Linked DNA regions of Danio rerio. The protein of the gene in region 2 interacts with the protein of the main gene of each other region in a biochemical or structural test. Links are inferred from orthologs where the notes say so. Each region holds a gene or a part of one and is shown on either strand. Other genes may lie near its edges.

Region 1 (7,025 bases), on a different chromosome or scaffold from region 2:
TACACATTTATACAACAGTCTTTGCAACAGAGCCAACCTTTGACATTCTCAAGCTGCAATACGAGATAGTGTGATTAGAAATAGCATGATCAGGTTACCGTCGAAATCACTTAAACACTAAATCCAAAGCAGAAATTAGTGCACCGAGTAAAAAAATAAATAAATTACACTTAAGATTTAATAACTGCAACACAACATAAAAAAGTCAAACGGAATATGAAAGAAAAACATTCATAAATTGAATCGAACGCACTCCCCCAATCCCCACTAGCAAAAACGATTTGTTAATAGTACGTTGACAATTAAAAAAAGAACGTGGCTTTGTTTTTTATACACTGTACAGTTTTGTAAATACGATATTCCTCTGAATAATCTTCAAATCTCAAGGCCTTTAATTTCCTAGTGTTTCCCTCACAGAATCCTGTGGAAAGGTCAGATCCTGCTTGTCTGTTTATATGTCACTGTTGATGAAGATCTGGATTTGATATAGATTCAGACTGTTGATGCAGCATCTGAAATTAAATCACGGCATGAGTAATCGATGTAAAGATATGAAAATGTTAAAGGAATGATAAAAATACCTACTGTTTAAAAGGCTCCTTAAACAACAAACTTGTTCTTGGTGGTGGAACCACTTTTGGTGGCCGTGTCCGCATGTGACTGGTATCCAATGATGACCTTTGGTGGCACACCTAATCTTTCTTTGTACACACGCCTGTTAAGGAGGAAAAGACAAAATGTAGACACTTAGGCTACGTTCACACTGCTAGGTTTAGTGCTCAAATCAGATTTTTTTTTTTGTGTATGGCTGTTGACGATGCTCTTATAAATGTGGCCAATTTCAGATTTGCAGGGTGAACAGATCCTAAAGTGACCCGCTTGCGCAAAAGTACATTACAGACAGCACAAAATGTCTAATTATGCACTTGTGATACTGTATGAAGTAAGCACGTTGTCAGACCATGCTTATATGATTATTGCCCTTTTCACAGACAACCATGGTGTGTTTCATGAACCGTAAATGATTGTTCTGCTACTACTAATGTGTATTCTGCCATTTGAAATCTAAAACAAGTCACTTGTGATTGAAATCACTGATCGTTTGTGATTTATGACAACAGCGGTGCACGTTTGTATGACCACCGGTGCAGTGAACTCATCAAGGGTTAATGAACAGAGTAAGACTAAACTGTAAAGGCGGAGTTGTTTTATCTCCATTTGCAGTTATTTAATTTTACTTCATTATAAACAGTAGACACGTGCAGAAGGGGGGTTTGGATGCTCGAGCACCTGCCCTTTTTTCTCTCGGAGAGAAAGTTCATCCTCCTTTGCACACAGAGTCCCTATTTGCAACACCCACGATGCTCTTCAGCTTCACGATCAACCCGCGCCTCAATCGTTAACAAACACCAGTTTTGCCTCCAAAATCTTTTTCAAAAAAACAACAAGCTTTCTGTGGTGCAGTAAACGCCCTGTGTGCCGTTCTACGATGCTGCTGAGGAGTACAGGATGTTTGCAGCACAGAATAATGACGCATGTTGCTCGAAGATTATGTAAAAGTCACAAGAAATCCGACATAACCGTTCACACTGCAGTCGCATTGCAAAACATCAGATCTGTGTCTAATTTAAGACTACATATGAAAGTGGCACAGATCTGACCTGAAAAGATCAGATTCCATGCGTTTGGGTTGTTCACACTGTCATTACCTGAGTAACATGAGGGGGAAAAAATCTAATTCGAGCCACATTTGGCTCAGTGTGAACGTAGCCTTATAGACAAAGTCAAGGCATAATCTGCATGACTAATAACCAAAAATAGTTGACAAGTAGTAGCTTTTTTTTCCCCAGAGATGGGTTTCGACTGGAAGGGCATGCGCTGCGTAAAAGCTTGCTGGATAAGTAGGCGGTTCATTCCGCTGTGGCGACCCGAATTAATAAAGGGACTAAGCCAAAAAGAAAATGAACCTGAAAACCTGAAAAAATATGCAGCTAAGTCACAAAATCTGTCGCAATTCAGTTTGCAAAAAATTCTAACTGCATTTCGTTTCCTCTCACTCCACAAATCCTTACAATTTAACCTTTTTAAATCAGCAACAACCTAAATGTTTGGATTGGTGGCTTGATGTTATTTATTTATTCCCACATCAGCAACGTATGGTTAATTCATGGCAAAATGGATATAGATAGAAAATATTACATGATAAAAACTAATTCATATTACAACAAAAGTGACTCAGACAAATATTTAGAATATAAATAAATAAAATTCACACAAAAATATATTCAAAGTTAAATATGATTTTTCAGTTCAATTTTTGATAAATAATTTAACACTCTGCTTGGTGTTACCTTTTTGGAAAATATCTATCACAGTACTTTCCTTATAAAAATGTTGTCTAATGGTATTTAAACTTTCACATTCCAACAAAATATGTTTCATGGTAAGAGTAAATACAAATGAGTCAACTTAGAATGTCCAATTTGACATGTAGTATTGACAGTTTGTTCATGCCTGGTCTAACAAATTAGAATTTGCAAAGTGTTTTTCATTTATTTTCATGTAAGGTGTCTTGATGTTAAATGCATTATTTAGAATATCTATAATATTTCATATGATTGGAAAAATTTCACAACAGTATGTACAAATAATAACATTTAATTTTAGCATTAAAAAAATCATTTCAGTTTCATGTACAGTATAAAAGTGTAATGTTTACCCTATGTGTACGATGGCATCTTTGTTCTCGTAGTCTGTCGTCCATATTGCGATTTTGTCTCCCTTTGTTCGGATGTTAACGACAGCACCACAGACATCATCACTGTGGTCATCAAACGCTTCTCCAACAAGGCACAAAAGCTAAAATAATAAATGAGAAAGAACATTCTTTAGTCTATATATAAACACACACGTATATGTTCTAATATTACATTTGAATATTTGAGCTCATAAAAAGGAAATTAGGTATACTGAGAATAACGTTGTTTTAATCAAGTGATTAGTGATTGTTAAGCTATTTTAGTCAATATTTAAAGTGGATCAAATCTTTTACATTGAAATAGAATATCAATATTTGGTAATAAAACAAAAAAATTTAATTTTATCAAAAAAATCTAATTTATTATTATTTAATAATTATAAGCGATGTAGGAACATTTATTGTGATTAATCGCATCAAAAATACACGTTTGTTTTAACATGTCATATGTGTGAATTTTATATATTTATTATGTATATTTGATAGAAACAAAGCTCTACAAAACATTTTTATTACATGGATATTTAAATTTATACACAATTAGTATCATATACACATTTTATATGGAAATATAAATACACATTTTCTCAAATATATGCATGCCTGTGTGTATTTATATGTACATAATAAACGTACACAGTACACACCTAAATCAAAACAAACTTTTATTTTGGATGAGATTCATTTTTGCTCACCACTAATAATCATACAACAACAGGATTTTGGATCCACTTCAAATGCTGACTACTGTATATATTCACGATTAGCCTATGCCTCATATCCTGTTTTTATTGGTTGAAAATATAAAATGTGTAAGGTTCACTCATATTACAGTCAACGACATAACAAAATACGAAAAGATATTTAAAATTCATAATAAAACTTTTTCAGTAACTATTGGTGATTTTAGCACAGTGAAATCAGCAGCTAATATGGACTAGGGAGAATTTGGACTTACTGTTTCCAGCCAGAAGCGGTCCAGGTCAGCTCTGCGCTGCTGTTTGGAGAGGGTGATCAGCCAGCGGCCACCCCGCTTGTTTCTCTCATCTTCCCACATGGGCTCAATGCCATCCTATCACAAAAACACAAGAGCACAGACTCATTTTCATGGATTCAACAAAACTATCATACAGTTATTCTGCTTTATCATGTCTTACCTTGAAAAGGGAGTAATCACATCCTGACATTAAGTTACTTGATAACTGAATGTGATTGTATAACCTGAAAATATAACAGCAATACTTGTTAATGGCTTGTTGTAAGATACAACAATTTACAAATCTGAAGTCTTAGGGTTAAAAAAAATAAAATAAAAATAGAGAGAAAATCCACATTAAAGTTGCTCAAATTTGATTATCGAGACGGAAATGCATATTACTAAGCAAAAATTAAGTTTGAATAGATTTACAGACATACATTTACAAATCTTTATACAAAATTCTCCTGATTTTTGCCATAGAAATGACTCGTAGTGTAATTTTTGGCCATTCCAAAAAACTATACCCTTACAACAGAAGACTGATTTTGTTGTCCAGGGACTCACACAGACATAAATGTATTTTTATTATGATTTTTAAGTCACTGTTTTGTGCATTGGTTGTACTAAAATAGGATAACAGCTTTTAACAATGGAAAAAAACAATATTGTTCCCATATTGTACATTATTGCAGGGTCATATTCTCAGGCATTCTCTGTCTAAAATGTTTTTGTTTATAAAGCCTTTGCTTCCAGAGTTTTCTATTGGCCAGTCAGAAATACTTCACCATTATCACCAGGATTCATTTTAAAGGTACAATTCACTCTTGAGGGGATGTAAATAGTGAGTAAATTAAAATTTTTGGGTAAACTATCCATTTATGGTAGATTGGAGTCTAATTTCTGTTAAATACTTACAATATACAATATTTGTTGTGGTAGGCTATGAGCTTTAATAACATATACATTTATAAACTTATAACAGACTTAAAAAAGAAAACATAAAACGCAACAGATGGTCTTTTTTATCATATGTTTTAATATTATCAATCATGTTATTTGAGTTGCTTCAATTGTGTCAAGTTAATACTTACGCCCAGAAGTCCTCCACGGTGTCAAACTTTGAGATGAGACGGAGATTAGCTTGCCATGTTTTGCTTTTGTCATTTTTAAAGAACCAAAGAGCCCATCTGAGGAAAAAAAAGGGGGGGGCACGATAACTCCTCTAGATATTTTGCCATCGTATCACATCAAAATACATAAAACATGTGGCCTGGGTGGCATTACCTGTTCTGCAGTGGATGTTTAATGTAATCTTCAAGACTCACGATCTGTTGCTCATTTTCCTCATTTTTTTCTTCTGAATTTGATGGATTTGTTGAAGTTTCCTACAGAAATAGAAAACAACAACTGTTATATTAACAAAATATGCATCTAAAGCTCTGCATACTGAATGAGAGACTTTTATGGGAAAATAATCCATATTTTGCCATTTTAAAAACTATTGTAAAAAGCAATATTTTAAGTCCCCATAACATTTTTTTTCATTTGTTGAATTACTGACAAACTGTTTCACATTCAATATTTTTACCAATATTTTTTACTATTTTCATGCCTGCCATGAGTGGAAATAAATACTATAATGAAATGTGAATGGAAATAAATTAGAAGACTCAGTTAGCTAATTAATTAACATGTTTTTATTTATTACTTATATAGTCTATGCCAGTGGTTCTCAAACTTTTTTCATCAAGTACCACCTCAGAAAAAATTGTCCCTCCAAGTACCACCATTTAACCAGTATTGAAATACAGTAGCGTAGTAGGCCTAATTAAGCAGCTACAGTTCTGCAGTTTAAAAAAAAAAAGTTTGAACATTAACACTGCTGTGCTTATGTGTAAAAAAACAAATAAATAAAATTTCAATGTTTAAATTAAAATGTAATTTTAAAAGTTAATTAAAAATGGTAGGCTACTGTTCTTAAAAAGTAAAGAAAAAACACCTGTACTTAAATGTAAAGTGTTCACCTGTAGTATAAAAGCCTGGAAATGCTGCTTGGACCTCATAAATATAGGCTATATGTCATCATATTCATATACGAGTCATTTTTTATAAATATTTAAATATCTGTTGCATGTAGATATGGCATATCGGATTACTCTGCGTACCACTAGAAGGCAGCCCGCGTACCACAGTTTGAGAACCACTGGTCTATGCAGTTTTTTGTTTTAAAATGAGAAAACGCTATTAAGAGAGCAATCAGATTTTTTTTTTTTTTTTTTTTGTATTGTTAATGACTTTCTAAACGGGTGACAAAAGCCCCCACGAGTGAGCAATGGCCCTAACAAAAAAAAAAAAAAAAATGAACAAAAAATACAAATAATGAAAATAATAAGAAAATTACTCTGGCTTTCCACTTTCAAAAGCATTCTCTTTCAGATGAAACATGTTATAATGGTATATGCATAAATATTAGAATTTATTAACAAAATCTAGTCCTAAATGAGTCGAAGAAATAAAAAAAGGACTTAAATTTTTTCAAAAGCTTTTTGGCACTAATGTAAATAACATTAAACATAAATAACTAGCATTTTCATATTGAAGCACTAGCAAAGTTTTGTCCTAGTACTAAAAACTAAGCCAGGTCAAACTCCCTGGAATGTATTATCAGGCTTAAAGTGAGCACTATTACTTACTAATACTTTTCCATTAGCTCTGCCTAATACACACTACATTACCAGACAAGGCATTGGCCGGTATATGATTCTGACGGTGTAATAACCTTGGATAAAAATATCATGGTTTCCAGGTATCACGGTATTTCGATTACTGCTTTAATTTTTTTTTCCTTTTTGAAAACAATATATTTTATTTTTTGAAAGATTTTTTACAAATCTGGAGCAGTAAACATGTCAAGATATATAATGAAAATGAATCATAGACATGAATCTTTGGATATCTTTCCAGCTTGAGAAACTGTTGTCTTCAAAAACAAACAAAAAGTAAATAAAAAATCTTACACGGTGCGGTATTACAGAAAATTTTGACAGTTTTAAAACCTTGACTTTTCCAAACCGTGGTATACCTTGAAAACGGTGATCGTCACCTGCCTAGATCACACTGTATACGCTACAAAATACTGAGGTAAAGTTGGATTTATATCCGCACATTCGTTCATTTAATACAGTCCTTGACTACTAATATAAAGTCCCCATTTAGAATTGGCAAATAATACTTTTCTGAAATTATATTAAGAAAATCCAAATATGCTAATATAAAAAACTTTTTTAC
Region 2 (7,541 bases):
GTAGAGCTCAACAATGAGAAATAACATTCCACAGACTTACAGCCGGGACGTCCCGATCCACAACTGTCCGTAGGATCTCCATCCAGTGCGTCATGACTGTGTTGTTAATCAGCTGTAGGGGGAACGAATACTGCAAAACACAAACACACAATTCTAAATTCAATTCATAAAAAAAATAATAATTCTAGCTTTTTCAAAGGATTCACATTTAACAATATTTCCTGTAAAGTCTCTCCAGATGAAAATCGTCACCTGATAATATTAAACATAGGGCATTCCAAAAGTACCTGTACAAGTGCATGGAAAATCTTGAGGATCTGCTTCTGGATGAGGACTGAGATGAATGTGGCATCAGACAGGAGTTGAGTGATGAGCTGCTGAAGCCGCGGCAGGAAGATCTGCATGGCTGCTAACAGCGGGTCCCGCTCCTCAGCCTTCTTAAACCTGACAAACACACAAAACACAAACATTCATTCATTTTCTTTTCGGCTTAGTCCCTTTATTAATGAGGGGTCGCCACGGCAGAATGAACCGCCAACTTATCCAGCATATGTTTTACGCAGCAGATGCCCTTCCAGCTGCAACCCATCTCTGGGAAACACCCATAAAACACAAACAGAAGGATCAAACTTCAAACATAGCAGGTCTAATTCAGAATATATATCTAGCAGTTCTGAGTTTGTGCAAAAACATTTTCAACTTCTCACTTACAAGATCATAGCTTGATATTTTGAGATTTAATATCCTGCAATAATGAGAAGAATCTTTTAAAAGAGTCTTTTATTCCCCTGGCGTACGAATGATTTCAGACATGACTATATACATACATTTTTTTAAATGTATAGCTGCGTCCCAAATCGCATGCTTATGCACTGTTCTACGCCATTTTGTAGTATAAATAGTGTGTTTACACTAAAAACTCTATAAATAGTTAAGTGCACTTTAATTACCTGGATGATGCACTCATTTAGCCGCTAAAATGAAGTGTGCAATGATGGACACTTCACGCACTCAACGACCGCAGTTTTGCTCACGTAGCGGAAGGGGCGGAGCTATCGGGCGCATATGTTGGATACCTTTATTTATTTTGGATAGTAAAAGCAAAATTCTCCTACGAGAGGGATCATAGCGCCTCCCGATGGAGAATGCGGTTATACTCACGGCAGGTATTATTTGATAATTCGGTTGTTTATTTCACTGAAAAGGCAACCGTCAAACATCATTAGGGAGACGGTTTGAATTTCCGCTTAGTAAAAAAACATTAGTGTGCCATTTGGGACGATACTACATACATATACTATCCTGTTGAGTGTGTAAGTGCATAAGTACATAGTGCATGAGTGCATAGTGTGCCATTTGGGACGCAGCTTATGTGTTTTTAACCTTGGATGGATGCAAATGTATTTTAGGACACCTTCATAACAATCACGGGAACTTTTACAACAACAAATCCTCAAGAGAGTCAAAAGTGTCGTGTTTCACTCACTCATAGTTTTTGACGAGCTGGTAAAGTGCGAGCAGACTGCCGTACCAGCTGCCACTGTTCTGCGACTGCAGATACAGGTTAATCTTGTCCACTACACCCGTCCACCGGCCAGGAAAATCATGCTTTATTATGGCCCGCAAGCATACTGTTAACTGAGCCCTGCCAAACAACAACAACAAAAAAAGAGAGTTAATTTTTAGGTTCTAACGACTGTCATTATGAAATGAAAACATTGTGACTTGCCTTATGGACTCAGGGCAACGAATAATGGCCTCCACCATGTTTTCTCGGATCTGTCCGCGGTCATTTTCATGGATGTTGAAGGGAAACACCACCTCTCCCAGTGTAGGCTCCCGGTCCTGCCAGTACTGACTCACCATGTTCTTCAGGTAGATGGCAGCTGGAGGATGAATGTGACGTCATTGGTTATTTCATCCAATCAAAATTGACCATTGGTAAAGGGGAAGATCTCGACCCTGAACGATTCAATTGGGAAGGGGATTGTGACTGGCTGTAGGAAAAGAGAGGTTCTTACCTGCCTGTCGCACGGGAAACTCCACCTGCTCCGACACTATGATCTGTAGAAGAGTTGGGGCGAAGTTGATGATCTTGTAGGACTGAAAAAAAAAGAGACATTTTTTTTTTTACAAGAGAATAATAGTTTTTATTTTTATAAGCAAAATCAATCTACAAAGCTCAGGGATTTCTCTTTATATACATGTTTTCTCAAATACCAATGCAACGTGGCACCAAAATTATTAAAATATTGTTGATCTATGATGGTTCAATTCACCAAAAGCCAATCATTCAATTCAGATAAGCCAAAATAGCACAAAGAAAGCACAGGATATTATTTTTTCTTTATAATAAGTATGACTAAGAACTTATTAGATGTCAGAAATGTAATGCAATGAACTAATAAAGTTAATTTCTGCCAAAATAAAAATGCAATTGCGGAAAACAGACACTGATGTCAAATAGACTGTGGATCTTAGAAGTTTGCAACTGTATACCATTGGAGAAAATCACATATTCTTTCAGAGGAAAAGATGAACTATTAAAAAAATTTGGAATCCATTTTTTTATTATTTTAAAACAGTACCACATGATTTGATTTGACTAAAAAACTAAAAGTTTATCTTCATTAATTAATCCTGTATCTCCTCCCTTTTTATTTATTTATTTTTATTTTATCTATTCATTTTTACATGCCGTGTGCGTGTGTGCTTTATTTCAGTTGTTTGCTGCTTAGTTTCGATGTTCTGTATTGTTATTATTTAAAAAAAGCAAAATAAATAAATATATAATTCAAAAATTTTATTGCACCATTGATCTCACAATTCAAACTTTTTTTCCCTCATTTGTAATTTTTGTATGTATGTATTTACGTAATCGAATTAAAAAATGATCTCATCTCAACTTTCCCAGTGATGAACTTGAAAAATTGTCACTTCAAGAATGTCAGCACTGAGATCAAATCTGACAATGAAAACTACATTTTGAGGTAACATTTTTGTGAATTTTTTACACAACTTTGACTAACCCAAAAAATTTCAGGTTATAATCTGGCAAATGAGATTTAATATCAATATTCATCACAATTCTGTGAAAAAAAATAATTGTTTCAGCATTGATTTCATTCATTTTCCTTTGGCTTAGTCCCTTATTCATCAGCAGAATGAACTACCAACTATTCCGGCATATGTCAATGATATTTGGTTTTTGGCCCTTCATATGAAAAACTTTGGGCTCCCCTGATGTAAACAACAAGCACATCCACTCTCTAACACACAAGCTCTTCTAAAACAGAACTGCCTTCAACAATGCCTCTGCAGAGTAGGAATTGCACAGAATTGCATCAGTGGAAGCTGCAGAAATAATGATTTACATGCAGGAGAATCAGGACACAATGAACAACCATGTCACATTATAACATCACATCCCCAAATTGACTAACAGGAAAACTATAAATGAAGACTGAGACACTTAAATTTTGGATATAACCTAAATTAAGTCATTTTATTCATGTAAAGCGACTATATTCATAATTTAGTCCACAAGGATCAATAGTCGGCATCTCATTCTGCTGTTGAACAATGATGCCGTTGATTCACTGCAACTAGTGGGCACCCTTAACAGTAAACAAAGCGTTAATAGGGACGAAAGCAGACTATTATTCAGCTTTATAAATTAAAAATCAGGCCACAAACACTGAAGGCATCTTTTAGCGCTTCTGTTCCCCAAAGAAACAACAAACTTCTCCAGACGGAAAACTGACCTGGTTGAGTTCATTCTCAGCCGCGAGCCTGAGATTGGGGTCTATGGTGCCCTTCAGAGCCTGTATGATTCGATTGGGATCCATGAGGGCCGAAGAGGTGGATGAATTTCAATAAACTTTGGACTATCGGACAGATGCGCGGACGATCTGATGCCTCAGATCTTACAGGGAGCCCTGCCCCAGTCTGCCGTCAAGCGACTGTCAGCGTCGCAAAAGAACAAAGCCAAAGCGGAGCGTTTGCAGCAGAGGCTGGCGTGACAAAAAATTAAAGGGACCTCATACACAATATAGTTCTTAAATATATCAATATAAAGAACTGTCCTTAGCTAATTTATTTATTTATTTTTATTGCAATAATAACAGTACATTACAACAAATACAAAACTGAAAGAAGTATGGTACAATCAATTGAAATATTACTTTTAGAAAAAAGTAGAATGTAAGAAATTTACTTAAATCATTTTATTTCATACACTTCTATATTATAGGGTATATGCACAAAGACTTTTATTTTCAGCGGGTGCAGGATTATATTTCCCCAAAACTGTCACGGTTACTGTTAAAAAATGAACAAATGCGTGAATAAAAATCAAACTTCACCTCAGTAAAGCTGGTTAGTGGAAAAGCACATTTACTTATGTTTTGTTATTAAACTAAATAAAAATTAGATTAGTGAAAAAGCAGTGCCAAAAACTGAAATAACCCGTTATCTTTTTACATTACACTTATGTTAACAAGCCCACAAGTGACTTTTCATTTTCAATTGTGCTGGCTGATCCTCGTACATCAATTGTTTTCATGTCTTTTTACACTTGAACATCTAAACGAATGCTCAGGTCTATTTAACCGACTATATTATTAATGCTGTAAAAGGTATTCCATTGCCAATTGGACTTTTTAGTGGCTGAACAACACTTCCATGCATATACCCCCATTCATAAACAAGAACACAGTCTACATCAGCTTTGCATGGCTAAAATAGTTTTAAAACATACCTGTCTAAAAGTAATATTTCAGCCATGGTGTCACCCTTCAGGTTATTGTTTTGAACTGCAAACGTAAGGCACTGACAGATAAAAAAATAAAAATAAAATAAATATATAATAATAAATAAATAAATGAATAAATACATTAAATAATAATAAATAATAAATAAAATAAATAATAATAAATAAATAAATAAATAAACTAATAAATAAATAATAACAAAATAATAATGAATGAATGAATAAATAAATAAATAAATTAATTAATAAATAATAAATAAAATAAATAATAATAAACAAACAATGAATAAATAAATAAATTAATTAATTAATAAATAATAAATAAAATAAATATTCAACAAATAATTTAAAAAATAATAAAAATAAATAAATAAATAAATATAAATAAATAAATACATAAATTAATTAATTAATAAATAATAAATAAAATAAGTAAATAATAATAAATAAATAAACTAATAAATAAATATTCAACAAATAAATTAAAAAATAATATAAATAAATAAATAAATAAATAAATAAATAAAAATAAATAAATAAATAAATAAATGAACATTTTAATAATTTAAATTCTCTCCTTCTTAAGAGAAACTTAAGGCACTGACAGATAAACTTGATGGAAACAGAAAAATCATCAGTAATGCACCATTTCCCCAATGCAATCTAAGTCAGTAGTCTTCTCCCTCATAGTTCATGTCCACAAGGAGGAGCTGGAAAACTAGTCGTTTTTCAAATAGGCTTTACGAGCCTGCAAATATCATAACAACATGAATTAAATGATTGATTTTGAACTGAAATAATAAAGATAATTTTGAGTCAAAATATGTATTTAAAGCATAAACAAATAGTAAAATAGTACTGCAAGACCTCTTGTCTCTTCAATCAGTGTTTACATTTCGACCATGTGATTTATGTATACTAATGTTACAGTTCAACACATTGGACATATTTTTTCTTACCCCTTAAGTTGGGAAGCTGATCGTCCATTAGATTCCATGCTTATCTGCTGCTCGAGACCATTTAAAGAAGATCACAGACGTAATTTAAAATATATAAAACTAAAAATGTATCCTGTCTCCATCGACACACTACTAGTGTGTTGTTTTCATACTGACACTGACTCCCTTCCACTCCACCAGGGGGCGTCAGCGGCGTTGACGTTCAGCGTGACAGTGACACCTTTAGAGCCTAATCAATATCAACAACATGACACTGATGACAGCCGCCTCGACACAACTATGTATATACGTTTAAAAGCTATTAAAGTACAGTTGCTGCAGATGACAGCTCAGTTACAGACTCTGTCACTCGACAGCATATATTTCAGCCCATCAATAACGTTAATAACAAACGACGCGCTGTGCTGTCAAGCATGAAGAATGTCACGCGACTCACCTGTAAGTATCTACACATAATTAGTGATTTTTAAAGTCGTTGGCGCTCATTATATATCCATTATATTATATATTATGTTATATATATCAGTTTTAAACTGTATTTAAATCATTGGCATGTCGAATAGGTGTTTTCATTTGTTTGCTGAAGTATGGGTGATGCTACTCTTTCCTTGTCAGTCATTCAAATATAACTTTAACCCTGGATAAATAGATATTTTTTGTGAAAATTATTGTGTATAAAGGTAGTCTTACCTTAACGAAGGTTTAACAAAGACTTTGTTTACATCCCTGCTGAAAAAAAAACAGCTTAAATCAGGTTTTAGAGGGGTTATGGCCATTTCCACACTCGTCTTAGCTGGTCAGGCAGAAAAATGACCTGCTAAAATCAGGGTGACCAGCCTGGTTTAAGCTGGTCAAGCTGGTTTTAGCTGCCTGACCAGCTAAGACCAGCCTGAAAATGGCTGGAAATCAGCCTGGAAATGGCCAAAACCCCTCTAAAACCAGCCAACCAGCCTATGCTGGTGGCAGCAGGGATGTTGCTCTCTTGATGAAACTCCATGTGAATTTAGGATGGAGATTCTTCTGAAGCTTATTAGGTAGAACAAATAAACTGTTGTGTTTTATCAAACCTAAAATAGTGTTTTTTGAGCATGTCACATGAAAGTGTAAAATGAACTTTGATATGGAGTGCTTTTTTATTTACTTGTGTCTTTCCTTTACAGAGTGAAAGGGTGTGTTTAGTCCAGCAGAAGCACGTGGTCCGACATTGACTGTAATGGTGGACATCTGTTGAGTGACAGGTAATGCATAGTATTTGTCTGTGAGATTAACTTTGTTATTTGACAAACAGAGATATGCTGCGAACACAAGGTGCACAAAGCAGATGCAAAATAACAATTCTAAACTTTAAACACATTTTAAAAAGTTACATGCCTTGATTTAAATCATCTTTTGTATGGGGGAAGTGCAAACCCTTGCTTATTTAAGTAATAATGCACATCCAGGCAGTTCCTGAAGAATAAAGCTTTGTGTCTTATTTCATCATAAAAAACTATTTAAGGATGTTTTTTAGCAACAAGGCACTTTGATAGAGGTGAAGTTGGTTTTATATTTGGATATTCAGACATTCTCCTTAATATTATAGATCCAGAAAAGTATTCTTTGCTAATTCTAAATATGAGAATCATATTAGCAGCCAAAGACTATCAACGTGTTGTTTTGAGGTCATACTCACATGCTAGTTCAGACTGAATACTCAAAGTAGCGTGGTAAACAATATAGAGATTGATAAATGAACGTACATGCAAATCTAAAACTTTAAATCTTAACCTAACTATGAAAGCTTTCCCTCTGTGACACTTTGCCATATTTTA

The links.
Region 1: the proteins of ipo8 (region 2) and eif4ea form a complex in vitro, tested with the Homo sapiens proteins (2 studies listed by BioGRID and IntAct, with this or other methods). The link is inferred for Danio rerio from reciprocal best matches to the Homo sapiens genes IPO8 and EIF4E.

The regions. Positions count from the first base shown.
Region 1 is NC_133189.1:48,173,461-48,180,485, forward strand, and holds part of eif4ea (eukaryotic translation initiation factor 4E-1A), read right to left. Parts: intron 5,123-7,025; coding exon 5,022-5,122; intron 4,925-5,021; coding exon 4,829-4,924; intron 3,980-4,828; coding exon 3,916-3,979; intron 3,831-3,915; coding exon 3,717-3,830; intron 2,860-3,716; coding exon 2,720-2,859; intron 716-2,719; coding exon 601-715; 3' UTR 586-600; intron 513-585; 3' UTR 1-512. UniProt on the Homo sapiens protein: Acts in the cytoplasm to initiate and regulate protein synthesis and is required in the nucleus for export of a subset of mRNAs from the nucleus to the cytoplasm which promotes processes such as RNA capping, processing and splicing.
Region 2 is NC_133179.1:9,921,144-9,928,684, reverse strand, and holds the start of ipo8 (importin-8), read right to left. Parts: upstream 3,906-7,541; 5' UTR 3,849-3,905; coding exon 3,765-3,848; intron 2,104-3,764; coding exon 2,022-2,103; intron 1,887-2,021; coding exon 1,730-1,886; intron 1,646-1,729; coding exon 1,487-1,645; intron 445-1,486; coding exon 288-444; intron 131-287; coding exon 41-130; intron 1-40. UniProt on the Homo sapiens protein: Involved in nuclear protein import, either by acting as autonomous nuclear transport receptor or as an adapter-like protein in association with the importin-beta subunit KPNB1.